Linked DNA regions of Stegostoma tigrinum. The protein of the gene in region 1 purifies or fractionates together with the protein of each later gene. This does not show direct contact. Links are inferred from orthologs where the notes say so. Each region holds a gene or a part of one and is shown in the gene's direction. Other genes may lie near its edges.

Region 1 (7,312 bases):
AAAGGCAGCTTACGTAAGGTGGAGGAAGCAAGGGTCTAGCACAGCTTTAGATGATTACAGGCTTGCTCAGAAGGAGCTCAGAAGTGGACTGAGGAGGGCCAGGAGGGCGCACAAAAAAGGCTTGGCAGGAAGGATTAGGGAGAACCCGAAGGCAGTTTACTCATACGTGAGGAATAAGAGAATGATCAGGAAGAAGTTAGGGCCAATCAGGGATAGCATAGGGAGCTTGTGCGTGGAGTCTGAGCAGATAGGGGAAGCCCTAAATGAGTTTTTGTTTCGGTTTTCACTAAGGAAAGGGACCTTGTTGTGAATGAGAACTTTGAGGAGCAGGAAAACAGGCTTGAACAGATCGAGATTGAGGAAGTTGATCTGCTGGAAATTTTAGGCAAACATTAAGATTGATAAGTCCCCAGGGCCAGACCAGATTTATCCTAGGTTACTCCAGGAAGTGAGAAAGGAGGTTGCTAAGCCGCTGGCGAAGATCTTTGCTTCCTCACTCTCCATGGGACTCGTACCGGAAGATTCGAGAAAGGCAAATGTCGTTGCTCTTTTCAAGGGAGGGAATAGGGAAATCCCTGGAAATTACAGACTAGTCAGTCTTAAGTCTGTGGTCAGCAAGGTTTTGGAAAGAATTCTGAGGGATAGGATTTATGACTGTTTGGAAAAGCATAGCGTGATTAAAGGGAGTCAGCATGGCTTTGTGAGGGGCAGGTCATGCCTCACAAATCTTATTGAGTTCTTTGATGAAGTCATGAGACAGGTTGACGAGGGTCGAGCAGTGGATGTGGTGTACATGGACTTCAGCAAGGCATTTGATAAGGCTCCCCACAGCAGGCTCATTCATAAAGTCAGGAGGTATGGGATACAGGGTGATTTGGCTGCCTGGATTCAGAATTGGTTGGCTGACAGGAGGCAGAGAATGGTTGTAGATGGTGAGTATTCTGCCTGGATGTCAGTGCTGAGTGGTGTCCCACAGGGCTCTGTTCTTGGGCCTCTGCTCTTTGTAGTTTTTATAAATGACTTGGATGAGGAGGGTGAGGGGTGGGTTAGTATGTTTGCTGATGACACAAAGGTTGGAGGTGCCGTTGATAGTATCGAGGGCTATTGCAGGCTTCAACGAGACATTGACAGTATGCAGAGCTGGACTGAGAAATGGCAGATGGATTTCAACCTGGATAAATGCAAAGTGATGCATTTTGGAAGGTCGAACTTAAATGCTGAATATAGGATTAAAGGCAGGATTCTCGGCACTGTGGAGGAACAGCGGGATCTTGGTGTTCAAGTGCATAGCTCCCTCAAAGTTGCAACCAAGGTGGATAAGGTTGTTATGAAAGCATATGGTGTTTTGGCTTTCAGTAACAGGGGGATCGAGTTTAAGAGCAGCGAGGTTATGCTGCAGCTCTACAAAAGCCTGGTGAGACCACACTTGGAAGATTGTGTCCAGTTCTGGTTGCCCTATTATAGGAAAGATTTGGAGGCTTTGGAGAGGGTGCAAAGGAGGTTTACCAGGATGCTGCCTGGACTGGAGGGCTTGTCTTACGAGGAGAGGTTGACTGAGCTCGGACTTTTCTCTCTGGAGAGAAGGAGGAAGAGAGGTGACCTGATCGAGGTGTACAAGGTAATGAGAGGCATGGATAGAGTCGATAGCCAGAGACTTTTCCCCAGGGCAGGATTTACATGCCAGGAGGGGTCATAGTTTTAAGGTGTTAGGAGGAAGGTATAGAGGAGGCGTCAGAGGGAGGTGCTTCACCCAGAGAGTTGTGAGCGCATGGAATACTTTGCCAGTGGTAGTCGTGGAAGCGGAGTCATTAGTGACATTTAAGCGACTGCTGGACATGCACATGGACAGCAGTGAATTGAGTGGAATGTAGGTGAGGTTATTTTATTTTTGGATTAGGATTATTCCACGGCACAACATGGTGGGCTGTAGGGCCTGTACTGTGCTGTACTTTTTTATGTTCTAATTATATGCCGTTATTCAGCATAATGGCGAACATTAAAAGCGTTCTTTATTTGGCTGTGATTCTTGGTAAAGAGATGAATATGTCTAAATATTAATTGGCCCCTGATTTCAAATGTTGATCATTCCTTGTGTGAGACTTTCCTCATATCAGTCCTAAATTTACCATTCACTTGATGTAACTTTCACCTGTCTCCTTGTTTTACCTTATAATTTAACTGCAAACAATATTTTATATTGATATTTTATTTGCTTTTCCATTCATCTCTGTTAGTTCACCTTTTTGCATACTTTTTATGAATGACATCACAAACACAACATGGAAACCAATCATTCTGATCTGCTAGTTTGCGTTGAGGTTTTCCTTGCTCAAAAATTAATCCTGATTTTGTACCCATTCTGTTGCAATATTCCTTTCACTCCCTTTTTATTCAACCATTTGTTTAAACTTTGACATCAGGAATCCACCTCATAGTTTGTATTTGCATTATCTCAAGTGTTGTTAGTGGGTAAGGTAGTTTCACAGTCATCTGACCCAAGGACTGTAGAGTTCAAACCTGGCTTCCCTTGATTTGTATTCAACTTCTTTGGCTAGATCAATATTCTAACTGTTCAAATTGGTGAAACTTAATCCTCAATAATGAAATATCATCAATCTGAAAACATAAGCCTGTTCCTTTGTTCACAAATAGAATGTTGGGTATTTCCAGGATTTGTTGTGTTAATTTCAAATTTACAACATCCACACTTTTTCTTTGTATTTGTGATTGAATTACAAAGATAATGGGACAAATAACAAAAGATGGATCTAGAAGAGAAATAAATGGTTACACAGAATAGCAGAGGCAGAGGAGGATGGAAAATATCTCAAAAAAAAGTTCTCCTGGGTCTAGTAATGCGAAGAAGAAAACAGGGTTGCAGACCACCCTGCCAGTAAAGGAGATTTTTACCTCAGGCACCAACCTCCTTTACTCCCTGTGATTCTTGTGTATTACCAGCATCTGCTGTCCATAAATAAATTGAGATGATGGTTAAAATCCAAAGTCATTAATGTTGATTTTAATAATAGAGAATGTGGCAGCATGAGTAGACTTTTAGACACCTCAAACTTGCTCCACCATGCAATGAGATCATTGTTGATCCAATTGTAGCCTTATCTCCATTTCTTTCCTGTTCACCAGAGCCCATGATTTGCATGTGGATCAACAGATACCTTTTGAAAAATGAGCTGTTGTTCTTCATGTTTGTGTTGAGCATCATTGAAATTTGTAGAGACCTCTAAACAAAATGGCCAGTGTCAGAAAGGGATGGATGATTAAAGTAGCAAGTGACCTGAAACTAAAGGTCACACAGTAATTTGATTGGATGTTGATTGATTATAAAGTACCTTGGGAAGTGCTCAGTTTTGGAAGACATTACATAATCACACGTTCTTCTTTTCAGCAAAATGATCACTAAACCTGTGCTTAGGCTTCCTGATGTAGGGGACACTACATTACAACTGCTAAGTACAATATACCAAGTTGAAAAAAGTACAAGTAACTCCAATTTTCACCTGACAAAAATGAAATCATGGGTCACGGCCAAGAGAGGATGACCTCCTAAGTGTTGCACCTTCTGTGCTCTCATGGGAAGGTACTGGGGATTGTTGCAGAGGAAACAATTCCTTTCAGAATACTGAAAGAGAAGGGGAAGATGTGTTTGTGGTGGAGTTTTCAGACATTATCTGTTGATTGTGGAGGCCAGCACAGTGAAAAGTGAGAACAAGGGGAACTCTGTTATGGTTTTGGTTGAAATGGAAAGCGTGTAAGAAATGGGATAGATATGGTTCAGGACCCTATCAACCACAAAGGAGGAGAATCTTTTGTTGCTAAAAAATATTCATAAGCTGTGGTTACACCTCCCAGTTTACCATATTGTGTAGAGTTTCTGTTTAATGGTTTGTGCTTTACATTTGTGTGCATTAAATTTCATGTGCCATTCATCCACTTTATGATTACAGAAACATTAGAAAACTTCAAACTTGTGTTACGAAGTCACAGGTAGAATGGGTTTCAACACCATGCTCTACACAGTTGAAAAATAATTCCACCTATGTGACAGCAAAAAACTGACTGTCTCCTTTATATCCTATGAAATTCTCAAACAAACCAAAGAATATTGCAAAGCAGTTTGAAGTGAGGCATCCACAAAGAGAAGAAAACAATTTTCAACATGACATTGGCAATTTATTTTGTTAACAGGAGTGATTTGTCTGTCATCCCTTGATTTGTGGCATAGACATCCCTTGGAGAATAACAGCGCTGCCTAGAGTGAGCTCAGACTTTTGAGCATTGGTGCTACCGGGGCAGAGGAGCTGCTGTCAATCAAATCCCGGGCCCACCCACAGCATCGCGGGTTCCGCTCGCAACCGTTGTACAAAATGGCGAAGATCGCCAAGACTCACGAAGGTAATTGAGGGGGGATTATGTCGGACGGTGTTTTTATCAGTTTTTTTCTAAAATTAAAACATGGGCGGAATGGAGGTCACAAGAATGTTTCCGTAGGCTGTGTCCGTAGTTCCTCCGGTTGTGAGCTGTAGGAAATGTGGCTGCAGTTCTGATGAACGAGCGCTTGGCTGGGTCAGGAAATGGCGTCGCTCCTGAGAGCGTAAATGAGGGCCGAGGGAAGAGGCGCCAGAAGCGACCGAGCGACCCCGACACTCCCGTTCCACCGACCAGTTCTCGAAATGGGCGGCGGTGGGGGTACTGTCTTAGTTCGGGTGCCTTCACGACGCGCGATCTTAGTTGGGTTTTCGTTGGCTTGAGTTTTGTGGCGGTTGGAGTCGGGCAGGCTGATTGACGCAGTCTGCCTGCGGCCTTGTCAATAACGACGATCCGCCGCCAGCATCGAAAAAGAAAGCGACTGCCTGCATCATTGCAGAGTGGCCGGATTTAATGTGGAGTTTGCTGAGAAGGTAGATCTGGTTCCAACCCAATCTGTTTCTCTACATGGGGAACGAAGTGTTGATAGCGGTGCTCACGTGTTTTCCTAGTGGATGGTCTGAAGAGTGGCATTGTCGATAGTGAGGAAGAGTCATGGTGTCAATGTCTTTGAATTAAGCACCTAACTAGCCAACTTATTTTGGCATTCATATCGCTGTTCTGTTTCGTGCGTGGTTTACAATGCCTGGGTTGCTGTGTCCTGGATTTTTAAAATGCATCCTAATTCTTGCTGCATTGAGGATGCTTAACACAAGTTCCCGTAGCTCTGTGGCGATTTGTCAAATCGCCAACGTTTTTAGACCTTAAGCGACGGTGCTAACGCATCCAAACATTAAAACAAAATGTTTATAAAGTAAACGAATAACCGTTTGATCAACATTTCGTAAAGCCACCATGACTTATGAATAGTGTTGGGCATCGTTGCTTTATTTTACCGTGAAGGAAAAATACTAAATCTAACAGCAGAATGTGTTTGGAATACAGTTTCTTTCGCCAGCCGAAAGGTTGAATTAACGTTTCAAGTCAAGTACAGTATGAATTTTCTTCATGAAATGCAAATGAGATTCCAGTTTATTCAAAAACAGAAATTGCCAGAGAAACTCAACACGTCTGGCAGTATCTGTGGACAGAAATCAGAATTAACGTTTCAGATCCATTGACCTTTTTTAAGTATGGGAAATTGCTGACCAGGCTTCCCAAACAAGTTCCACTTGTCTGGATTTGGCCCATAACCCTCAACCTTACCTATTCATATGCCTGCTATAACTGTATTTACATTACCATTTTCCATGACAGTTCATTCTATAAATGCACTACACTCTTGTGGAAAAAGTTGCATCTCAGATCCCTTTTAAATCATTCAACCTTTCACCCTAAACTTTTGCCCCCTAACCTTGAACTCCTCAATGAAGTTTGCGTTTTCCAAATTTGTTTGCTTTTTCAGTAAGCGTGGAAAAGCTCGGTGTTCCTTGACTTTTTCCAAGAAATCACGTGATAAATCTCTCATTAATCAACTCAAAATCATCCAGATAGTTCAGTTTTCTGATTCTCATAATCCAGAAAAGTTTGCTTTAGTACAAGATTGAGACAGAAATGGTTTTCTTTTATTTTTATGCAACCATTAGGCATATTAGTTACTTGCAAAGTCTAATTTGAAGTGTCACAGTATCTTGATGTTTATTATAAACATTTAAATGATCACAGATAAACTTTGGAATTCGTAAGTTTTCTGGATTTTGTGAACTGCCTTTGGATGATATTTAAACCTATAGTCTGTGGTGTCAGTAATTCTCAATACTTTCAAAATCTGCATTATCAAAATCCTATCTGTTGAGATACCAATATTGTGCTATTAATTGTAGCATAATTCATACTGACTTCTGGAGTTTTATTTTCAAGTATGCCATAATACAACCTTTTATTTTACAACTGAATTACTTTCTTGACACTGGGCATTGACAGTCTCTGTGGATTCATGACTGAAACATTTCAGTTTGCAAGTCTTGACGAGCAAGCAGTAATGTCACAAATATATTTTACCAAAATAAATAATTTTAATTAAAATGTAATCAATTCTTCTCATTCTCTATTAATTTGTAAATAATGCTTCCCATTCTGGCCCTTTTTTTGGTCAAATCTGAGTCAGGTGCATTGATTCATTGTTCATAGTTGTGGTCTTAACTAGTGCCTTGCATAGTTTTGCCAAAAATTCCCTACTTTTATTCATTCTCTTTGAAATAAAAGCCAACGTTCCAATTTGCCTTCCCTATTACTTGCTGAACTTGGATGCTATCTTTTTTTGTGATTAATTTGCAAGAACTAATAGTGGGTGGATAATTTTGAAATTTGTGTTGTTGAATGAGGCTTAAATATTGTTGGGAATGCCTCCTTACTGCTTTTCAAAATAGTACCGTGGGATTTTTAACACTCATCCAATTAAACAACTGGGGCCACAGTGTAATTTCTCACCTGAAGAATGCCACCTCTGACTGTGACTTCTTCAGGCTTGGATTGGAGTGTCAAGCCATGATTTTTGTGCTCAAATCTTGGAGTGGACTTTGAACCTGGAATCTTGTGCTTCACAGGACTCATTGCTGTCAAATCATACAAGCTGCTGATGGTACCTTCATCAGTCTCCTGTTACTGAAAGTGTAGTCGTGAGATTGTCATGTCCTGCTTTTAATAAACCGGATATATTAGGCAATTTTCCATGTTTGGTCAATGGCACTATTTTAGCTGTACTGCAGCAACTGGCTAGGAACTCAACTGGGGTACGTGTTTTTGGGGACTACGTTTAGGATTTTGTTTGGACTTTGTTAGTTTTTGGGTGAAACCGTGACTTAATCTGCGAGCAAACTCACCTTTTTGA
Region 2 (8,005 bases), on another chromosome or scaffold:
CAGAGGATTAGATAGTGTGGACAATGAGAGCCTTTTTCCTAGGATGGTGATGTCTAGCACAAGGGGACATAGCTTTAAATTGAGGGGTGATAGATATAGGACAGATGTCAGAGGTAGGTTCTTTACTCAGAGAGTAGTAGGGGTGTGGAATACTCTGCCTGCAACAGTAGTAGACTCGCCAACTTTAAGGGCATTTAAATGGTCATTGGATAAACATATAGAACATAGAACATTACAGCACAGTACAGGCCCTTCAGCCCTCGATGTTGTGCCGACCTGTCATACCAATCTGAAGCCCATCTAACCTGTACTATTCCATGTACGTCCATATGCTTGTCCAATGATGACTTAAATGTACTTAAGTTGGCAAATCTACTAGCGTTGCAGGCAAAGTGTTTCAGTCCCTTACTACTCTCTGAGTAAAGAAACGACCTCTGACATCTGACCTATATCTTTCACCCCTCAATTTAAAGCTATGCCCCCTCGTGCTCGCCGTCACCACCCTAGGAAAAGGGCTCTCCCTATCCACCCTATCTAACCCTCTGCTTATTTTATATGTTTCAATTGAGTCACCTCTCAACCTTCTTCTCTCTAACGAAAACAGCCTCAAGTCCATCAGCCTTTCCTCGTAAGACCTTCTCACCATACCAGGCAACATCCTAGTAAATCTCCTCTGCACCCTTTCCAAAGCTTCCACATCCTTCTTATAATGCGGTGACCAGAACTGTACACAATACTCCAAGTGTGGCCGCACCCAGAATTTTGTACAGCTGCAGCATAACCTCTTGGTTCCGGAACTCGACCCCTCTATTAATAAAAGCTAAAACACTGTATGCCCTCTTAACAGCCCTGTCAACCTGGGTGGCAACTTTGAAGGATCTGTGTACATGGACACCGAGATCTCTCTGCTAATCTACACTACCAAGAATCTTACCATTAGCCCAGTACTTTGCCTTCCGGTTACTCCTACCAAAGTGCATCACCTCACACTTGTCTGCATTAAACTCCACTTACCACCTCTCAGCCCAGCTCTGCAGCTTATCTATGTCTCTCTGCAACCTACAGCGTTCTTCGTCACTATCCACAACTCCACCGACCTTAGTGTCGTCTGCAAATTTACGAACCCATCCTTCCACGCCCTCATCCAGGTCATTTATAAAAATGACAAACAGCAGTGGACCCAACACCGACCCTTGCGGTACACAACTAGTAACTGGTCTCCAGGATGAACATTTCCCATCAACTACCACCCTCTGTCTTCTTTCAGCAAGCCAATTTCCGATCCAAACTGCTATATCTCCCACAATCCCATTCATCCGCATTTTGTTCAATAGCCTACTGTGGGGAACCTTATCGAATGCCTTGCTGAAATCCATATACACCACATCAACCAGTTCAATCTCATCTACCTGTCTGGTCACCTTCTCAAAGAACTCAATAAGGTTTGTGAGGCACGACCTACCCTTCACAAAACGGTGCTGACTATCCCTAATCAATTTATTCTTTTCTAGATGATTATAAATCCTATCTCTTATAACCTTTTCCAACACTTTACCAATAACTGAGGTAAGGCTCACTGGTCTATAATTACCAGCATTGTCTCTGCTCCCCTTCTTGAACAGGGGAACCACATTTGCTATCCTCCAGTCGTCTGGCAGTATTCCTGTAGACAACGACGAGTTAAAGATCAATGCCAAAGGCTCGGCAATCTCCTCCCTGGCCTCCCAGAGGATCCTAGGATAAATCCCATCCGGCCCAGGAGACTTATCTATCTTCACACTCTGTAGGATTTCTAATACCTCTTCCTTGTGAACCTCAATCCCACCTTGTCTTGTAGCCTGTATCTCAGTATTATCCTCAACAACATTGTCGTTTTCTAGAGGGAATACTGTCGAAAAATATTTATTTCGTGTTTCCCCTATCTCCTCTGACTCCACACACAACTTACTACTACTATCCTTGATTGGCCCTAATCTTACTTTCGTCATTCTTTTATTCTTTAAATACCTATAGAAAGCCTTAGGGTTTTCCCTGATCCTATCCGCCAACAACGTCTCATGTCTCCTCCTGGCTATTCTGAGCTCTCTCTTTCGGTCTTTCCTGGCTACCTCGTAGCCCTCAAGCGCCCTAACTGAGCCTTCACATCTCATCCTAACATAAGCCTTCTTCTTCCTCTTGACCAGAGATTCCACTTCCTTCGTAAACCACAGCTCCCACACTCTACAGCTTCCTCCCTGCCTGACAGGTACATACTTATCTAGGACACACAGGAGCTATTCCTTGAATAGGCTCCACATTTCTAATGTGCCCACCCCCTGCAGTTTCCTTCCCCATCCTCTGCTCCCTAAATCTTGCCTTATCTCATTGCAATTGCCTTTCCCCCAGCTATAACTCTTGCCCAGTGGTATACACCTATCCCTTTCCATCACTAAAGTAAACATAACAGAATTGTGATCGCTATCACCAAAGTGCTCACCTACTCCCAGTACCAAATCAAATGTGGCTTCGCCCCTTGAAGGCCTATCTACATACTGTGTCAGGAAGCCCTACTGCACACACTGGACAAAAACTGACCCGTTTATAGTACTCGAACTATAGTGTTCCCAGTCAATATTTGGGAAGTTGAAGTCCCCCATGAAAACTACCCTGTCTCTCTCACTCCTATTGAGAATCATCTTTGCTATCCTTTCCTCTACATATCTGGAACTATTCGGAGGCCTGTAGAAAACTCCCAACAGGGTGACCTCTCCTTTCCTGTTTCTAACCTCAGCCCATACTACCTCAGTTGACGAGTCCCCAAACATCCTTTCTGCAACTGTAATACTGTCCTTGATCAACAATGCCACACCTCCCCCCCCTTTTACCATCTTCTCTGTTCTTACTGAAACATCATAATCCCGGAATGGGATTGATATGGATGATAATGGAATAGTGTAGGTTAGATGGTCTTCAGATTGGTTTCACAGGTTGGCACAACATTGAGGGCCAAAGGGCCTGTACTGCACTGTCATGTTCAATGTTCTATCTATTGTTATTTGGATCATAATCTGCCTTCCTAGTTTTGCTACCAAAGTTAATAACTTCACATTTATCCACATTATACTTAATCTGTTATGCATTTGCCCATTCACTCAACTTGTCCAAATCACATTGGAGTATTTCTGCATTCTCCTCACATTTCACTCCCCAATTCAGCTTTGTGTCCTGTATAAATCTGAAGACATTATATGTAGATTCCTCATTCCTTTACATTGTGAATAGTTGAGGTCCCAGCACAGGATCCTGTGGTAGCTCATTAGTAATTGCCTTCCACTTGGAAAAAGGCCCATGTTTCTCTGCCACTGCCGGCACCTTCCCCTGCAACCGCAGGAAGTGCTACACTTGCCCCCACACCTCCTCCCTCACCCCCATCCCAGGCCCCAAGGTGACTTTCCATATTAAGGAGATGTTCACCTGCACATCTGCCAATGTGGTATACTGTATCCACTGTACCCGGTGTGGCTTCCTCTACATTGGGGAAACCAAGCGGAGGCTTGGGGGACTGCTTTGCAGAATGCCTCTGCTCGGTTCGCAATAAACAACTACACCTCCCAGTCGCGAACCATTTTAACTCCTCCTCCCATTCCTTAGACGACAGTGCCACAATGATGCCACTCGAAGGTTGCAGGAACAGCAACTCATATTCCGCTTGGGAATCCTGCAGCCCAATGGTATCACTGTGGACTTCACAAGCTTCAAAATCTCCCCCTCCCCAAATGCATCCCACAACCAGCCCAGCTCGTCCCCTCCCCCCACTGCATCACAAAACCAGCCCAGCTCGTCCCCACCTCCCTAACCTGTTCTTCCACTCACGTATCCCCTCCTCCCACCTCAAGCTGCACCTCCATTTCCCACCTACCAATCTCATCCCGCCTCCTTGACCTGTCTGTCCTCCCTGGACTGACCTATCCCCTCCCCACCTCACCACCTATTCTCTCCTCTCCACCTATTTTCTCCTCTATCCATCTTCGGTCGGCCTCCCCCTCTCTCCCTATTTAGTTCAGAACCCTCTCCCGTCCCCCTGTCTGATGAAGGGTCTAGGCCCGAAATGTCAGCTTTTGTGCTCCTGAGATACTGCTTGGCCTGCTGTGTTCATCCAGCTACACACTTTGTTATCTTGTTTCCTGTCAGCCAAACACTACCACAGTACACTACCCCCTATCCAATGTGCTTTAATTCTACAAGCTAAGCTCTTATGGGACCTTATCAAAATTCAATGTAATTTACTGTATGCGCATTAATGCATCCAATTTAAAATTCCAATCAATCCCTTGTCCATCTTGATTTCCGTAAACTTTTCCAATCCTACAATTCCCTTCAACATCGCCATTCCTTTAATTCTGATCTTTTGTGTATTCCTCCACTCTTAGCTGCAGCAAGGTAGCTCTGCTTTCATCCACAAAAACAAAGTTGCTGGAAAAGCTCAGCAGGCCTGGCACCATCTGTGAAGGAGAAAATAGGGTTAATGTTTAGGGTCCAGTGACCCTTACTTAGAACTTTCAGCCAACCTGCTACTGCACTCTGGAATTTCCGATTTTAATCTCTTTGCTTTTCCTAGTTCCTTCAAGATCTATTTTTATCATCTCCCTAAGCTTTTGGTCGCACCTCCTGTTCCTATCATGTATTCATGTTTGAACTGAGTGTCCAATACACCCCTGTATAGTATCTGAGACATTTTTTGTTAAGATAAATGTTCAACATTGCCTTGGTTGTGCACTGATGTTTCTTAATTGAAACAGTTGACACGGAATCCAGCTTTTTTTTAAACTCTTTTTCCTATTTTCAGGTGGTAGCACAATCATTGTGCACTTCACTGTAAAGTCTGATTTAATCTTCTTTCAATGCACTTGTTTTCAAAAGTCTACCTGGAGAGTTCTGTGTTCTGAGTGGCTGTAGCGGTCATCAATCCGACTGACTGACCAATGGGAGGCTCACACGGACAGCGGAAATCCCGCCCTCAGCATCCGGGCACCCTGCGCTGGAGCCACTTTTGCTGGCGGAGTTAATGGCGCCGAGGCCCTGAGGCCTAACGCAAGGCCAACGGGGAGAAAAAAAAATCGTCGCTCGCATTTTTTCCTGTCGTCGCAGGTGCGTTCAGCGTAGGCATTTCTGTGCGCTCTGGGCATATGGGTCGGGATTTAGGCTGGAAGTGAGTGGAGGTTGAGCCCCAGGGACTCGGCTCGGCGTGCGGCCTAATGGGTTTCTATTGTGGCGCTCGGCAGGCGAGGGAGGAATCGGTCCAGGACACCTCAAATATGGACTCGCTGGACTGGAACCTTCCAGGAGAAATCGTAGGGTTTTCTTTTTAATAGCACGGAAGAAGGGCTGTTCGTGTCTGTGCATCCCACGTCTAGGATGAAGGGTCTAGGCCCGAAACGTCAGCTTTTGTGCTCCTGAGATGCTGCTGGGCCTGCTGTGTTCATCCAGCCTCACATTTCATTATCTATTCACTGCAATCCTGTTTTCCAGCATTTGGCCCGTAGCCTTGTGTGCGATGGCGTTTCAAATGCTCGACTAAATGCTTCTTGAATGTCTTGATGGTTCCTGCCTCGACCATCATTTAGCCAGTGCCTTCCAGGTACCCATCACACTCTGGGCGGATGAAACTTTTTCCTTAAATTCCCTTTCAGCCTCCAGATCCTTAACTTGAATCTGTGCCCCCTAGTTATTGATGTCTCTATTAAGGGCTTGTGTTTCTCCCTACGTCCCTCAACTTTCATACACCGCGATCACGGTTCCCCAATCAGCCTTCGCTGCTATAAGGAAAACAACTCCTGCCTATCTAGTCTATCTTCATAGCTGAGGGGTTTCTCAAATATTCTGGTTAATATGTATAATAATTTACTAATATATATATGTATGACTCCATTATAGCCACCTTCCTGTTGTATTCAATACTTTGAATAATAAAGATACATACCTGATATCATTCATAACATCTGACCTGCTGCCTACATGAATATATGGACTTGCATACCAAGGTTCCCGTGATCCTGGGTATTTCCTTAGGTTCTACCATTCAACGGAAGTGTAAATTTTCTTCCCCTTTGTCCACTAACTTCTCTTCCATCAACCCCAGCGTTCACTCCAGAAGAGCATAACGTGATCTGTTTGCATAGTTTATTATTCAACAGGATTAATACTGCACATATTTCTTGCTAAATATATTTTAGACCAATGTAGCATAATCTGTAAGACTATTCACAAGGAGGATGCAGGCAAATTTGAGCCTGTATCTCAAAGGGAATCTTAATAAGGGAGAGGAGAAAAAGAAGAATTTTGGGAGCAAGTGGGACTCATTGGTACAAAAAACTTCTGTGGATGCTGGCAATGGGTTAGGCAGCATAATGATTACAAAAAGTTATATGTCAGGCTGATCTTTTGTCACAATCTATACCCAGCTCTCTCAAACAATTGCATGGATTGCCTCCTCCTGTATTTTATGATTGTAAAACTTAATAACATTTTAGGCATAGATTTAAATCCCACTTTCAAGTGTACATTTTTAAATGTAATTGATGGGGTTTAGGTGTTGCTGACTAGGCTAGCATTTTTATTGTCCATCACTAATTGATCTGGAGAAGGTGGAGTTGAGCTGCCTTTATGAATTGCTGCAGTCATTGGGTATAGGGATACCTTCAGTGCTGGTAGAAAGGCAGTTCCAAGATTATGACCTAGAGGGTAATGATCTGGATCTCAGTCAGATGGTCACACATGTTGGTTTTGGTATGTGGGGTCTGGGCCCGAGACGTCAGCTTTCGTGCTCCTATGATGCTGTTTGGCCTGCTGTGTTCATCCCGCTCTATACCTTGTTATCTGTTTATTTGGAAATGTAACTTGTTTATCATAACTTCTCCAAGAAGTCAGCACAACATCGTGGGCTGAAGGGCCTGTTCTGTGCTGTACTGTTCTATGTTCTATGTTCTATAATGCTAGACAATCTTGTCAAAATCCTGGATGTTCCATTTTCTTCCAAAGGTTGAGCTACTGAATAGCCATAGACAAGATTTTCCACTTGCTGCAGAGTTCTGAAATATTACGACTGTTGCCCAAAAACGTGCTTGGTCCTTAGGGAGTTGGTGTGTGTTGACATCAAAATTTGATGCAGGTCATGTTTGGTATAGAAGTTGCTGATTCTGGGAATCGAAGATTACTGAAATGCTGTCACTTGGCCAGGCAGTATTTTTAGAGAAGCTTGGGTTTTGTAATATGGTTAAGGTTTGCATGGTGTTGTTTAAAATAATCTGACTTCATTAGTTTTATCTATCATTTCAGAGAGCATGTGTACATTAATAAATGCATCAGCCATTCTGTACCAAAATCTAAAACAACACAATGAGAAAAATAAACTTTTTTTTGGGATTGGTCAAGAGAAGTCTCTTGCTGAGAGCACCAAAAGAGTTGCGTGTATCAGTTCAAGCTATGCAAGGGAGCATGATGTTTGCTCCAGGTTTTTATGCTTTGTTCGACATGACTGTCATATGGGATTATGAATTCATGTTCCATTTTGAAAGGCAATTCCTTAATCTTTTGGCTCATTTCAAAATCTGAGCAACTGAAGCTGACATAGTAACTTGAACATCAGTGTTCCATGAGAAATGTTGATTTTATTTTTACAAAATATTATCTAAAAGTCTGACTCCCAATTTGTATATTCAAAAACATTCAAAGAAAGTCTCAAAATGGATGTTTCAAGTGCAAACAATTGAATATACAGATGTTGAATGCTTTATTAAAGCAGTTTATTGCATGTACATCCACGGGTATGCATTAAGATAATAGGGCAAAACGTTTAGCATACTAAATGTATTTATCTGGGTGAAATGTTATGGATCAAAAGCATCTGCTAAAAATGGAAAATTTTTTTCAATCCTCTGATCTACTGTTGTGGATTGCAGCTCAAGTTGTGTGAATATGAGATTTGGATGTCAATATATGTGACCGTATTTATATGTAATCAGAGCCG
Region 3 (7,825 bases), on another chromosome or scaffold:
AGGGATAATCTTGGAAATTACAGGCTTGTAAGCCTCACGTCAGCAGTAGGGAAATTATTGGAAAAGATTCTCAAGACCTATACACATTTAGAAGCAAATGGACTGATTAGTGATAAACAGCATGGTTTTGTGTGGAGGAAGTCACGTGTCACCGAGTTAACTGAGTTTTTTTGAGGAGCTTGCGAAGATGTTTAATAAAGGGAAAAGCAGCTGATGTTGTCTACATGGACTTCAGAAGGCCTTTGACAAGGTCACTCATGGCTGACTGATGCAAAAAGTGAAGTCACATATCAGGGATGAGCTGGCAAGATGGGAGACAGAAGGTAGTGGTGGAAGGACGCTTTTCAGAATGGAGGGCTGTGAGTGGTGGTGTTCCACAGGGATCAGTGTTAGGACTTCTGCTATTTGTGATCCACATAAATGATATGGAGGAATACGTGGCTAGTCTTATTAGTAAGTTTGGAGATGATACAAAGATTGGTAGAGTTACAGATAGGAGGATTGTCAAAGGATACAGCATGATATAGATCAGTTGGAGGCAGAGGCAGAAAGATAGCAGATGGAGGTTAATCCAGACAAGTGTGAGGCAATGAATTTGGAACGTCACATACAGGTAGAAATTAAACAGTGAATGTCAGAACCCTGAATGTGAGAGATCTGGGTGTGCAGGTCCACAGATCACTGAAGGTGGCAGCAAGGGTAGATAAGGTAGTAAAAAAGGCCTATGGGATGCTTGACTTCATTAAAAGGGGCATTGAGTATAAGAATAGACAAGTTATGCTGCAGCTTTATGGAACTTCAGTTAGGCATACTGTTCTGGTCACCACACCACCAGAAGGATGTGGATGTTTTGGAGAGGGTACAGAAAAGGCTTACTAGGATGTTGCCTGGCATAGGGGATTTTAGCTATAAAGGAAGGTTGGATAGACTGGGTTTGTTTTCACTAAAATGCAGGAGGCTGAGTCACGACCTGATAGAGAAGTTTAGAAGATTGTGAACGGCATGGATAGAGTGGAAAGTATAAGGGTTGTTTGCAGGGTGGAAGGGTCAATTACTAGGGGACATTGTGTAAAATCAAATATGGTACACTCATTGGAACTCACAGCACGAGTCATTCCTAAAAAATCGAAAGATCAGCTCAATCCTCACCTGTCTTAAATGGGTGACCCCTTATTCTGAAATTATGCTCACTGGTCCTAGATTCTCCCCTACGGGGAGACATGCTTTCCACATCTACACTCTCAAGCCCCCCTCCAAAGTATCTTGTATGTTTCAATTTGGTCACCTTCCATTCTCCTCAAATCAAATGAGTACAGACTCAACGTGCTCAACATCTTCCCAGAAGAACATCCTTCCATACCTGGAATCAACCGAGTGAGCCTCCTTAAGACTGTCTCCAATGCCAGTATATCTTTCCTTAGATAAGGGGACTAAAACTGTTCCACAGCATTCTAGGTGTGGTCCGATTAGTACTTATATAGTTTTAACGAGTTCCCTCTATATTTCACTCCCCCGAAATAAAGGCTAACATTCCATATGCATTCACTATTAATAGCTGAACTTGATAATTTTTTTATGATTCATGCACGAGGACTCCTAAAATGCTCTGTGCTGCAGCTTTCTGTAGTCTTTCCTCATTCAAATAATATTCTTTTCTTCCTGCCCAAGCATGTAGCCTCACATTTTCCCACATTATATTCCAACTGTCAAATGTTTGCCTACTCACAACTTGTCTATATCCCCCTTGCATCGTTGTCCCCTGTAATTTACTCACCTAGCTTGGACAAAGCAAATAAACTCATGTTAGAAAATCAATACATTTCTTCAGTGTGTTCAGGGCAGTTGTTTTACAACAATATGCACTAGAACCAACAAGCAGGCAGGCCATATTAGTTTAATAAATGAACCAGATATTCATTAAGAGCCTAATGGTGCAGGAACATTTACCAAAAGTGATTGTGGAATCTATGGTTTCCCTTTCTCAGCCAAAATTTATTTCCTTTGTAATGTCTCTCCTCTCTTTGCTCACCAGAGTTCATCTTGTTCGTAAGAGCCATCTTGTACTCCCACAGCCCTATTCCCACTATATTACTGACCACCAACTTTCCTTCCTTGCTCACACATTAACTAAAACCACTAATGGTTCTATCTCTTCTGGTTCTGACCCTCTCTCCTTCAAATGTGCCATCATATTTCCCTCATCAAAAAAATACCTTTAATTCCCGCTGCTTGCAAACTGCTGCCCTATCTCTGACCATCCCCATTCCAAAATCCTTTGAAGTGTTTGTGGCATCTCAAATCTGTGCCCATCTTTTCCAAAACTTGAATCCTTCCAATCAACACTGCAATGGCTCTTATTCAAGTCACAAACAACACCTTCTGTGATCACACCACAGGTAAACTATCTTTCTTCATCCTGGCTGTGGCTTTCAACATGGTAGCCATCTTCCTCCAATTACTTTCCTTTGTTGTCCAGTGGGTGAGAGTAGACTGGCCTGATCCCATTCTTATTGCATCATAGCCAGGGAAACCATTGGCAATGACTTCTTTCCATTCCTACAGTGATCTCAGATGTCCCCCAGAGATCTATCTTTGGCCCCCTTCTATTTTTCACTGTACACTGTCCCTTGGCAATCAGTTTCACATCTATCTCACTACTACCTTACTTGAACCCTTCACTGTCTTGACTTTGCCTTCTTGCTACTCTGACACCCAAGATTAAATGGAAGCAGCGATATTGTGCTCCTGAGATGCTGCTTGGCCTGCTGTGTTCATCCAGCTTCACCCTTTGTTATCTTGAACTCTTGCAGCAACTTGGTTTTACTGCCGTCTCTGTTGCAATGTCTGACTCCATTACTACTTCAGCTCTTCTGCCGCTGAAACCCTATCCATGCTTGTTATCTTCAGACTTGACTATTGTAATGCATTCCTCGCTGCTCTCCCACATTCTAAACACTGAATTTGAGGTAACTGAAGTCTCTGATGCCTGCAGTCTAACGTACAGCATTCACCAATCCCTCTTGTACTAGCTGACCCACACAGACTACTAGTTAAACAATACCTTTATTATAGAAAATCTTCATTATTGTTTTCAAATCCCTCCACAGCCTGGACCCTCCTGACGTTCATAACCTTTTCCAATTCTGAGACCTCCAAAATATCACTGCACGTCTAATACAGTTTCAATATCCCTAATTTTAAATCATTCTGAAGAGGACAGGCAGGAATTTTTTAAAAAAAAGGTTCTTCAGGGTAGTAATGTGATAATGGGAACTGCAGATGCTGGAGAATCCAAGACAACAAAGTGCGGAGCTGGATGAACACAGCAGGCCAAGCAGCATCTCAGGAGCACAAAAGCTGACATTTCAGGCCTAGACCCTCCATCAGAGAGCATCCTCTCTGATGAAGGGTCTAGGCCCAAAATGTCAGCTTTTGTGCTCCTGAGATGCTGCTTGGCCTGCTGTGTTCATCCAGCTCCGCACTTTGTTATCTTCAGGGTAGTAATATCTGGAATACTTCCAGTGCCATGAGCTAGTGAGGATAGGAATAGAAGGATACAGCAGATAAATGTATGGCTGAGGAGCTGGTGATGGAGAGGATCCACAATTTTGGATCACTGGAATCTCTTCTAGGGTACAAGTGACCTGCATAAGGATGGATTGCAGCTGAATTGGAAAGGGCCTAATACTCTGCTGGGGAGATTTGCTAGATTTCCTAGGGAGATAGTGAGAAAAGAGGACAGTCCCCAAAACTGGTAGAGATGGGAAAAGGAACAGGTCAGACAGTCAGGAACAAAGCAGAAAACGAGCTATTACGGATGAATTAAACTGCATTTATTTCAATGCAGGAGGCCTAACAGATAACGCAGATGAACTGAGGGCATGGTTGGGAACATGGGACTGGGATATCATAGCAACTATAGAGACGTGGCTCAGGGATGGACAGGGCAGGATGCTTAATGCTCCAATGTATAGATGCTCTAGGAAGGATATAAAGCGTGTGCAGGGGATGGGGGTGCGAGCAAGTGGCAGCAGTATGGGGGGGGTGGGCACTGGGTGTGAGTGCCTGTGCCAGGGTGGGGGTGGTGGGAGTAAGTGCAGGGGGTGTGCAAGTGGCAGGGGTGCATGTGGGGTGTGGGGGTGTGGGGTATGTGTTGGGGGGTGGGGGAATGTGGTGTGTGTGGTGGTGGTGGGGGGGGGGTTGGTGGTGGGGAGGGGGGGGTTGGTGGTGGTGTGGTTCGGGTCTCCTGCCGCCTGACTGAAGTGATTTCCAGGTCCCTTTGTCGGTGCCGTGTCCAGGCGATGGTGGGTCTGGCTCTGGAGGCGGACGGTGAGGCCCAGGCCCAGGCCTAGGCCCCGCTGAGGTTCTGTCGGAGCGAACCTGGCGCCAGCCCTGGCCAAACTCCTGTCACCTTGACACTCACCTCCAACTCCTTCTTCATACTCTCAAACTCCTCAATATCGTCCAGCTTCAGTTCGAGCCGAGTAGGCTTCCTCCGCAACATTCTGCCGCTAGAAGTCACGTCCAACTTGGTCGCTTCAGACCTTACAGGCGACACCTGGCGTCACCACGGCATGGCACACTGGGACATGTAGTTTCTGAGCCGGCGGCGTGGAAATGACTACAACACCCAGCAGCCTGTGCGCCGCCTCCTTACCCTTTGCCCCGGACGCAGTCAGTGTCGGCTTAACGACGGTATAGGAGCTGGTAAGAGGCCGCGCTGAGGCTGGGGGAAGGAGAGATAGAGACAGGAGATAGCCTAAAGCTAGGCCTTGGCTATTGCCGTCAACTCCCCGTCCTTAACCGGGCCTTTATATTGTCAGGTTGGGGAGAAGTCGGTCATTGTGGCTGCTTGTGGGGGAGGGGAGGCTGTACTGTATCAGAAATCACACACAATGCTCTACTTGTGGCTCATAACTTTATTCAACTTCACCGTAAATCCCCTGCTTTTTCCATCAACATTTCTATTTAGGGAGTTCATAACTCCCATGTGCTTGGTTAATCACGCCCTGTGTATGCTGCCACCTGAAGAGTTTAGTGCACGTTGGCACCAAGTCCTCTCCCCTCCCCGTCTCTCTGCGCGCTCTTTAGCACTGAGTCATTAAGTATCTATTTCCTTCTCCCAAACCGTTCTTCCAAAATGAATCGCTTGTTAAATCCCAATCTGCCGGCCTACAATTCTCCGACTGGTAGTTAGAATCATAGAATTCGTACCGTGTGCCAGCATTCGGCCCATCGAGTCCACACCGAGCATCCCTCCCGTATCATCCCCATCTCCCATGGCTAACCCACCTAACCGGAACATCCCTGATGGGCAATTTAGCACCCACCCACCCTACACCTCTTTGGAGTAGGAGGCAGCCAGAACACCCGGAAGAAACCCGTGTAGACACAGGGAGAACGTGCAATCTCCACAAACTCGGGACCCTGGCGCTGAGAGACAGTGCTACCCTGTGCAATTGGTAACATTGTTATCTTTAGTACTGTTTCTAAGTTTGGTATCATTGACAAATTTGGAAATGTTAGTCTTTCAATATTCAAATAACATTTAAAAACCCAAGCAAAATATCTATAATATACCTACAAATTAATCTTTTATAAGATGGGTATGATGACCCTCAAGTTCACCTTAATGTCAACATCTGCTTTTACTTTTGAAATATGTTCAGCTTTGCCACTCAGACCAAAGTGGATAATTTCACATTTCCATCTTCTGCTGTAAGGAACAAGAGATCATCTGATGAGTGATAATGGAAACTGCAGATGCTGGAGAATCCAAGATAACAAAGTGTGAAGCTGGATGAACACACTGTGTTCATCCAGCTTCACACTTTTTTATAAGAGATCATCTGATACTTGTTTGTTATCTGTAGTTAGGAATAGAAGTAGATCATTCACTCCTTTGAGCCCTATTGCACTTACTATTCATTTAGATATTTTTTAATCAATGTATTCAGACATGCTATGGCTAATCTGTACCTCAACTCCAAGATCTACCTTTGCTCAACTTTTCTTGGTACTTTGACAATATAATGATCTTATTAATTCAATAGCTCAAATTGCCCTAAGGTGCATTGCTTTTGATTTGGGGAGACAGTTCCAAATTTTCTGTGATCCTTTTTCTCATCTGCCAGAGCCTTTCTTGATTTTATTCCATGGATGCTTCTGTTGTCTTTGATTCTCTCTCATTTCCTGCTTGTTCCTGTGAAGCTCCAAAAGCATGATCCAAAGATTCTCTCTCCTGGGCTAGAAATCAACACTCGTTCAGTTCTTCCTGTTCCAACTTCTTTCCCAAGGCATCAAAAACCAGAATTCCTATGAGCAACACCCCAATTTAAGCATGCAGATGCATGTACTTGGAGATTAGAGCTAGAGTCAAACAACCTGTCTTTCTCATCTCTTATCTCTGGTCAAAACGGTTTGTTAATTTTATGCATTTTCTACACCCACAGTTTCCTGCCCCATATTACAAGAATGTCTGATGATGATGATGTTCCGTTGCCTAAGAAATCTCGGATTTATTATGGAAGCCTTGAAGAGAAGGAGAAAGAGAGGATTTCCAAAGGAGATGCAGGATACCTGGGGAAAGAAGCTGTGAAAGCTGGGGTAGAAGCTGGACATATTAATATATCCAGCAGTAAGTGATGATGCTTCAGTTTCTTTAACTGTGTCATTGAATAATTACTCCATCTGATTGAGTCAAAAAATGTGGAGCTGCTGAAAAGATTGCTGAGAAATTTTAGAAAGCTGGTTGGGAACAATAGCAATAAGTAACAATTTTAGATGAATTGGGCTTTATTTTGGATGCAAAAGTGCAGAAAGTCTATAACGTTTGAAACACTTCTGGAAATGGCAACAGTTGTAATTAAGAAATTTATGTGCAACAAGTTCACACAAATAGCTAAGTGACGATGGCCTGATAGTCTGATCTTATAAGGTTAAATGATTTTCTGGATACCGTAGAAATATGCTGTATGTTGACTCTTCAGTGGGGATGCAAGGAAGTCCAAGTTAATGCCCAATACCTGCAAATAATGAATGTACAGTTAACAGATTTTCAAAAGAAATTGCATTGAAAATATTCAGGCTGTTCAAAGCAAATGTTGAGAGCATTTTATAGATCTCTTATCTGTGTGAAGTTGCGTATGTGACAACAATTATTGACAGTATTAATCCCTTACCCTACACAACGTGCGAATGGCTGAAATCAAAAAATACACAGCAAAGCTTTGCATTTCAAAATCCCACATTCTCTGAGACTGCTAACAATTTCTTTGCACATGCATTTCGTTTTCTGAAACAGTTGATGATTTACATCCATCCACTTAAGTTTAGAAGTCTTTTTTTCGCCTCTAGCATTTGTTTCAAACCAGCAAGGTCAGTTCAGAACCACTCTGTCACATTTTGTATCCCGTTGTGAACCATTGTCTACGTAACATTCTCTGGGTATACCATTTTCAGGAGTCTTATTGCACAGTATCTGCTTAAAATATTGAAGAAATAGAATCCGATATCCACAGCCTCCATAAAAACCAGTGTTTAAGCAGCCAGTGTACTTTTATAAACACAGGTATAGGAGTAGGCAATTCAGGACCTTGAGCTTGTTCCACGCTCTGAGAGATCATGTCTGATAGAACACAGAACATAGAAAAGTACTGCACAGTACAGGCCGTTCGGCCCACGATGTTGTGCCGTGGAATATTCCTAATCCAAAATTAAAATGACATAACCTACATTCCCCTCAATTCACTGCTGTCCATGTGCATGTCCGGCAGTCGCTTAAATGTCACTAATGACTCTGCTTCCACGACTACCACTGGTAAAC
Region 4 (6,968 bases), on another chromosome or scaffold:
CGATATCCCTGGACGAGCTGACCAGAGCCCTCAAGTCCTTGGAGAGGAATAGGACTCCTGGAAGCGACGGCTTACCGGTCGAGCTGTGTTCCACTCTGTGGGACCTGGTCGGCCAGCACCTGCTGGAGGTGTACGATAGTGCGCTTCGGGCAGGGGAAATGTGCAAGTCCATGAGGAAGGGCATCATCACCCTCGTTTACAAGAAGAAAGGGGAGAGGGAAGAAATTAAAAATTGGCGTCCCATTTCACTATTGAATGTGGACTACAAAATCCTGGCCAATGTCATAGCCAACCGGGTCAGGTCTGTCCTGGAGTCGGTGATTCACCCTGACCAAACCTGTGCTGTGCCAGGCAGGAAGATCGCTGAGAGCCTCGCGCTCATCAGGGATACGATCACCTACGTACAGGACAGGCGGGTGGACAACTGCCTCGTCAGCCTGGACCGAGAGAAGGCCTTCGACAGGGTCTCTCATGCTTACATGAGGGACGTCCTCTCCAAATTGGGGTTCGGGGAGGGCATCCGCAATTGGATCCGGCTGCTCTACGCCAACATCGTTAGCGCAGTCTCGATCAACGGGTGGGAATCAGACAGTTTTCCTGTTAGATCTGGAGTCAGGCAGGGCTGCCCGCTCTCTCCTGCCTTGTTCGTGTGCTGTGTGGAGCCCTTCGCTGCATCCATCAGGAAGGACGTGAGCCTGAAGGGCGTGACTATCCCAGGCAGCGGAGGCCTTCAGGTCAAGACCTCCCTGTACATGGACGATGTCTTCTGCACCGATCGTTGGTCGGTGAGTAGACTATTGGACATCTGCGGCCAGTTTGAACTGGCCTTGGGTGCCAAAGTCAATAGGGGTAAGAGCGAGGTCATCTTTTTCAGCAACTGGGACGATCGCTCCTTCATCCCCTTCACCGTCAGGACAGATTACCTGAAGGTGCTGGGTGTTTGGTTTGGTGGAGCTGGGGCGTGCACTAAGACTTGGGAGGAGCGTATCACCAAATTGAAGCAGAAGCTGGGCAGGTGGACGCTCCAGTCCCACTCCATTGTGGGTAAGAACCTGGCTGTCAGGTGCGAGGGGCTTTCGGTACTGTTGTATGTGGCGCAGGCCTGGCCTATTCCCTGGACCTGCGCCGCTGCAGTCACCCGGGCCTTCTTCCACTTCATTTGGGGGTCGAGGATGGACCGGGTCCGCAGGGACACCATGTACAAGGACCTGGAAAATGGGGGGAAAGGGCGTACCGAACGCCACCCTCGCCCTGACAGCTACCTTTGTGTGCGGCTGCATCAAGCTGTGCGTAGATCCTCAGTACGCAAACACCAAGTGTCACTACTTACTGAGGTTCTACCTGTCCCCGGTGTTGCGAAGGATGGGCCTGGCCTTGTTGCCGCGGAACGCTCCGAGTAGTTGGACCATTCCATACCACCTGTCCTTCGTGGAGAAATTTTTGAAAGAAACACCTTTGACCACAAGGCCGTCAGGCAGCGGTCAGCACGTAGTATCCTCGAGACCCTTCGGGAAAAGGAGAGGGTGGATCCCGTCGTGTGGTTCCCCACGCAGACTGCTAAAGTCGTTCGGCAGAATGCCTCATCGCCAGAACTTTCAAACAAGCACAAGGACATTGCTTGGCTGGCGGTGAGAGGGGCTCTGCCAGTGAGATCCTTTATGCATGCCCGGAATCTCTGCGCCACCGCACGCTGCCCTTGAGGTGGCTGCCGGGGAGACGAGACTGTTGATCACCTCCTTCTGGAGTGTGCCTATGCGCAGGAGGTCTGGAGGGGGATGCAGTGGTGTTTGTCGAGGTTTGTCCCGAGCAGCTCCGTGACGCGGGACTCCGTGCTCTACGGGCTGTTTCCCGGGACGCACACCGAGACCAACATCAACTGCGCCTGGAGGACCATCAATGCGGTGAAAGACGCTCTTTGGTCTGCCCGCAACTTGCTAGTCTGCCAGCTGAAAGAACTGACCCCGACCGAGTGTTGCAGACTGGCGCACTCCAAGGTCCAGGACTACGTGCTGAGGGACGCGCTAAAGCTTGGGGCAGCCGCCGCCAAGGCGCGGTGGGCAAGACCACAGTATGAAACCCCTCATCCAGAATAGAAAAAAGGGCCGTATCTGGTAAATGGGCCCAGCTGGCGCCTTCCCCAACTGGTCAGGGAGCCAACGGGGACTGTGCGGGGGTGACGACTGCTGGGGTGTTTTCTTTGCTTTATTTTTTCTTTTGTTTTTTTTTCCTTTAGTTGGTGTATGTACCCCCTGGGTCACCCGGAGCGGCTTGCATGACTGGGTAGGTGTGTAAATATGTTTTATTTTTTGTACATCTTATGAATCAAGTATATTTTTTCAAATAAAAAAGTGACGAAACGTCTGAAAACTAACCTTCCAGCTCAGCGAGCAAACTCACATCCAGAACCTCAACCTGACCTACAAATCTTCTCAAAACTCGCTGGCACAGGATCAATGAGATTAAAGTCATATACATGTGACTCAAAGATTGGTATGGGAAAAACGGGTTCAAATTCATGGGATATGGAACCAGTGGTGGGGAAGCACCATTATGTAAGTTATCGGAGCAGAATTAGCCCACTGTGCCTGCTCTGCCATTCAATTGTGGCTGATACGTTTCTCAAATCCATTCTACTGCCTTCTCCCCATAACGTTTGATCACTGTACTGATCAAGAATCTATCTCTGTCTTAAAGAAACACAATGACTTTGCCTCCACAGCTACTCACTGAAATTTAGAAGAATGAGAGGTGATGTCATTGAAACATATCAGATTCTTAAAGTGCTTGACAGGGTAATTCCTGCAACGACATCTCCTCTCATGAGAATGTCAAAGACTAGAGGGCATAGTCTCAGAATACAGGAATGGCAACTGAAGACTGATTTGAGCAAGAATGTTTTCTCTCAAAAGGTTGCAAATCTTCAGAATTCCTTGCCGCACACAGCAGTCCTTGTGGAGGGATTTTCTACTCAACCTGTTAGAGAGGTTATTACTGGAGCAGGTGGAACGTGAACTTGGGTCTCCGGGCAGAGAGAATAGGGACACTACCAGTGTTGCATAGAACCCTATATTTAAGGCTCAAATGCATTCTTGATCAGTAGGGGTATCGAGGGTTTTGGGGAAAGGGCAGGAAAGTGGATGTGAGGAGTGTAAGATCAATCATGATCCCATCCAGTGGCGCAGCAGACTCGAGGGCCGAATGGCCTACCCCTGTTCCTCTTTCGAATGGTCTTACGGTTTTAAGAATGAAGACAAAACGACTGCACTGAGCAAAATTTTTCTTGCAGACTATGCATGTTACAGGAGAAAAGAAGCCGAGATCGCTGGAAAATATAAGGGAGAAAATTGCTGTCGGGAGATCTGGAGAGATTATTATTCGTCCAGAAGACAAGTGATATTAAGAGGTGCAGTAGGGAACAGAGAGATTAAAGCGGCGAACCCAGCACTGAAAAGCCTTTTTTTGGCCTGGAAGCAAACAGTATGAATAACTCTAGCAGCTTGAACTAACAGAAAACGCCGGCATCTATTTTCATGTTTGACAGGTTGGGGTGAGGTGGTGCCCTCTGATGGTGTCAAAAAGCTCATTGCGTCCTATTCAACCTTCCCTGTCCTGACTTCAGTTGGCCAAGTCTCCAGCTGATGCGGGATAAGCAGTGATGCCCGGTTTCTGCCCCTCGCAGTAAAGAGCATCGGACCAATTTAACTGCCCGAACTCCCCCCAGATGGAGGGAAGGGTAAAAGAAATTGTGGGTAAAGTGTCGAAAATGGCGGGAGACAGCCAACGGTTGCTATCTTCCAAGGGGGTGAGATAACCGTTGTTTACGGTGGCGACAGAATTAAACAAATAAATAAAAAGTAAACAATACTGGCCATGTTTCAGGAACTCACCTGTCGCCAAAGGGAAAATTAAACTGGCGTTGAGAAACGATGCGGGTTTCCCGTTCCCATGGAGACCGTTGGGCTTTGACCCGGAAGGCGAATCCGCGGCGGCCGGAGGTCAGGTTTGAGTGCCATCCGGCGGCGGAGGCATCGCCAAGCAGCAATGGCGGATGTTACTGCTCGTAGCCTGCAGTATGAGTACAAAGCGGTGAGTGCTGTCGGTGTTGAGGATCGATAACCCTCGGTTTGATCCCCTAGACAGGCTGGATACAGTCGTGCGCGGGCTTGCATGGCCAGAGCTGAATTGGGCGAGTACAGTGCCACTGTTAAGCACACCGCCAGGTTGAGGCCTAGCCCTTGCTGTGGTGAATGCGACATAAGAACTGGGTTGGCATCTCTGTTGAGCTGAAATCAGGAAATTGAAGGGACCTCCAGGCAACCTAGGAACACGTCTCTAGAGCCCTTGTCATTGTTATCGAATTGTTTCTAATGGCTTTTTATTTTCATTCTTTGTCTTAAATGAGTACACAATTTATGTCCCAGTTCCATCCCACAACAAAAAATTAGTATTGGGCAATTTTGAAATCAGATTCTCGACAAAAATGAATGCTGGTTTTTTTTGGAAATGCCAATCGACCCTCAACTTCTCGTGAAAATCCTCTAAAATCAGTAATTTTGGAAGGGATACAGGGAAATATGTGTAATTCCCAACTTTGCTCAAGGACTGGAAATTTTGCATGGTTTACACCCAAGTGCAATACTGACAGAGATAGTGGGAACCACAGTTGCTGGAGAATCCCAAGATTACAAAGTGTGGAGCTGCATGAACACAGCAGGCCAAGCAGCATCTTAGGAGCACAGAAGTTCCTGCTGTATTCGTTCAGCTCCACATTTTGTTATCTTGCAATACCGACAGGTTTGTGCAAACCGCTCCATATGAGAATAAGACTAGTTTCTTCATTCTTTTTGCAGAACTCCAACCTTGTATTGCAAGCAGATCGTTCACTGATCGACCGAACAAGACGAGATGAGCCCACAGGAGAAGTGCTGTCTCTGGTTGGAAAGCTCGAAGGGTCGCGAATGGGAGACAAAGCTCAGAGAACAAAGCCACAGTTGCAGGAGGAAAGACGAGCAAAGTAAGGACATATCTTGTCAAATATCACAGTTTATTTGGAGTTGGGAGCAGAGTTATACTAATAAGCTATCTTTATGAACTAAAAAAGTTTAATCCTGAATGATAAAATGTTTTTTGGTAAAATGCAGGTAAACAGACAAGGTGGGTCAATCAGTTCAAAGCACTTGATATTTTGGTTTACTGAAAAATTTTAATGCTTCACAATGAGCAAAGGTGTCAGATTAAACAAGAAATTTAGACCTGAGGTGATAGTAAAATAATCATTCCACCTCATGGTGGGAAACATATGACTTTGGTGCATGGTGTTATTTAATGTAAGCAACATTATGAACATTTACAAGCATTTGTTTCTCAACAGTCCACATCCTAGTCTTTACATTCCACAGATTATATCTTGCTCTTAACTCAAAAGAACCATGAAGGTTCAGAACAGGTATCTACTCATTCATAGGATAGACAGGTTTTCGGTGTCTCGGGGAATTGAGGGATGTGGGGAATTGGCAAAAGAGAGGGTCACTCCACAAAGCGACTAGTCCAGTCCGGCTCCTGTCTATCATTTTCAGTGGTGTACTGAAATGTTGAATAAGTGCCAAGGCTTTCTTTACTCATTGTAATAGTAGTTGAGGGAGGTTTGCAGTTGAGCATGTCAAATTTCAGTCGTTTGGAGCTTCCTATTCTGCACAGGGGAGATTATTTGTAATCAGATTGGGCACTTTTCAACCCATCCTTTAGATTGGTGGTTTTGTGCACAAATATATATTTGTGCTCTGGTTAAGTGAGAATTCTTACTTGAATTTCTTGGCTGTTAAAATGTTTTGAATTTGTCTCATGCAGAAGGAGAAAGCGTGATGAAGACCGACATGACATGAACAAAATGAGGGGATACACTTTGTTGTCAGAGGGCATTGATGAAATGGTTGGAATTGTGTACAAACCCAAAACAAAGGAGACCAGAGAGACCTACGAGGTGTTGCTCAGTTTCATTCAGGCTGCACTTGGTGACCAGGTGAGAGTCTCCAGTGAAAAAATATCCCAGACAGATCCCCTGCTACTAAAAGTGATGGACATAACTGATCTCTTTAATGATTAACTAATTTTAAGATCTACTACATCACAGACAGGATGCCACTTTATGCAAAGGGGATGGTTTCCATTTGTCTTGGCTTGTTTCTTGGGATGTTGATGTTTCAGCACTTCCACTGCATGCATTTGTCTTCCTTTAGGTTCTTTTACTTTTAACCTGATTTGTACCTGAGACTTAGTCAAAGTTGATTGACTCCGTTCCTTTGATTTCTTTGACTCTTGCTCTTTGAGGCGTTCTGTACCACGGCCAGTGTGGAAGTAGGCCATTCAGCTTATCGAGGCCATACCACCCCTCCAAAGAGCATCCCACTGAGATCCATCCCATTCCCTTAACCTTGCATTTCCCATGGCTAACCTACCTAGTTGCACATCCCTGGACACTTCGGGAAATTTAGCATAGCCAATCTACTCAACCTGCACATCTTTGGACTGGGCAGAAACCGGAGCACCTGGAGGAAACCCAGTTAGACACAGGGAGAATGTGCAAATTGTACACAGACAGTTGCCCAACGCTGGAATTGAACCCGGGTCTCTGGCAGTGTGAGGCAGCAGTGCTAACCACTGAGCTAACATGCTGATTTGCCTGCCCTACTTCCATATGACAGATGCATGTGCCATAGACAGCGTGAGCAGTAATTCATCAATGATCACTTTAGAGGTTGAACAAGGAAGATAAATTGTTACAGGGAGACGTATTGCATCTGCATTAGCTGGCAATTTTTCTATATTGATTGGGCTTTTCTTTCTAGCCACGTGATATTCTCTGTGGAGCAGCAGATGAGGTCCTCGCTGTGCTGAAAAATGATAAACTGCGTGACAAAGAGCGACGGAAGGAAATAGAAATGCTCCTGGGACAGTTGGAGGATACCCGT

Evidence for each region.
Region 2: the proteins of sf3b1 (region 1) and prpf8 purify together in Homo sapiens (affinity purification with mass spectrometry; 5 studies listed by BioGRID and IntAct, with this or other methods). This does not show direct contact. The link is inferred for Stegostoma tigrinum from reciprocal best matches to the Homo sapiens genes SF3B1 and PRPF8.
Region 3: the proteins of sf3b1 (region 1) and prpf4 purify together in Homo sapiens (co-immunoprecipitation; 3 studies listed by BioGRID and IntAct, with this or other methods). This does not show direct contact. The link is inferred for Stegostoma tigrinum from reciprocal best matches to the Homo sapiens genes SF3B1 and PRPF4.
Region 4: the proteins of sf3b1 (region 1) and snrnp200 purify together in Homo sapiens (co-immunoprecipitation; 4 studies listed by BioGRID and IntAct, with this or other methods). This does not show direct contact. The link is inferred for Stegostoma tigrinum from reciprocal best matches to the Homo sapiens genes SF3B1 and SNRNP200.

Annotation. Positions count from the first base shown.
Region 1 is NC_081360.1:31,792,653-31,799,964, forward strand, and holds the start of sf3b1 (splicing factor 3B subunit 1), read left to right. Parts: upstream 1-4,312; 5' UTR 4,313-4,382; coding exon 4,383-4,410; intron 4,411-7,312. UniProt on the Homo sapiens protein: Component of the 17S U2 SnRNP complex of the spliceosome, a large ribonucleoprotein complex that removes introns from transcribed pre-mRNAs.
Region 2 is NC_081380.1:24,517,605-24,525,609, forward strand, and holds the start of prpf8 (pre-mRNA-processing-splicing factor 8), read left to right. Parts: upstream 1-5,001; 5' UTR 5,002-5,127; intron 5,128-8,005. UniProt on the Homo sapiens protein: Plays a role in pre-mRNA splicing as core component of precatalytic, catalytic and postcatalytic spliceosomal complexes, both of the predominant U2-type spliceosome and the minor U12-type spliceosome.
Region 3 is NC_081382.1:5,538,330-5,546,154, reverse strand, and holds the start of prpf4 (U4/U6 small nuclear ribonucleoprotein Prp4), read left to right. Parts: upstream 1-4,810; 5' UTR 4,811-5,310; coding exon 5,311-5,462; intron 5,463-6,452; coding exon 6,453-6,637; intron 6,638-7,825. Other genes in the region: anaphase-promoting complex subunit CDC26, read right to left, coding at 4,424-4,504. UniProt on the Homo sapiens protein: Plays a role in pre-mRNA splicing as component of the U4/U6-U5 tri-snRNP complex that is involved in spliceosome assembly, and as component of the precatalytic spliceosome (spliceosome B complex).
Region 4 is NC_081393.1:10,285,775-10,292,742, forward strand, and holds the start of snrnp200 (U5 small nuclear ribonucleoprotein 200 kDa helicase), read left to right. Parts: upstream 1-3,954; 5' UTR 3,955-4,041; coding exon 4,042-4,086; intron 4,087-4,850; coding exon 4,851-5,014; intron 5,015-5,847; coding exon 5,848-6,019; intron 6,020-6,845; coding exon 6,846-6,968. UniProt on the Homo sapiens protein: Catalyzes the ATP-dependent unwinding of U4/U6 RNA duplices, an essential step in the assembly of a catalytically active spliceosome. Plays a role in pre-mRNA splicing as a core component of precatalytic, catalytic and postcatalytic spliceosomal complexes.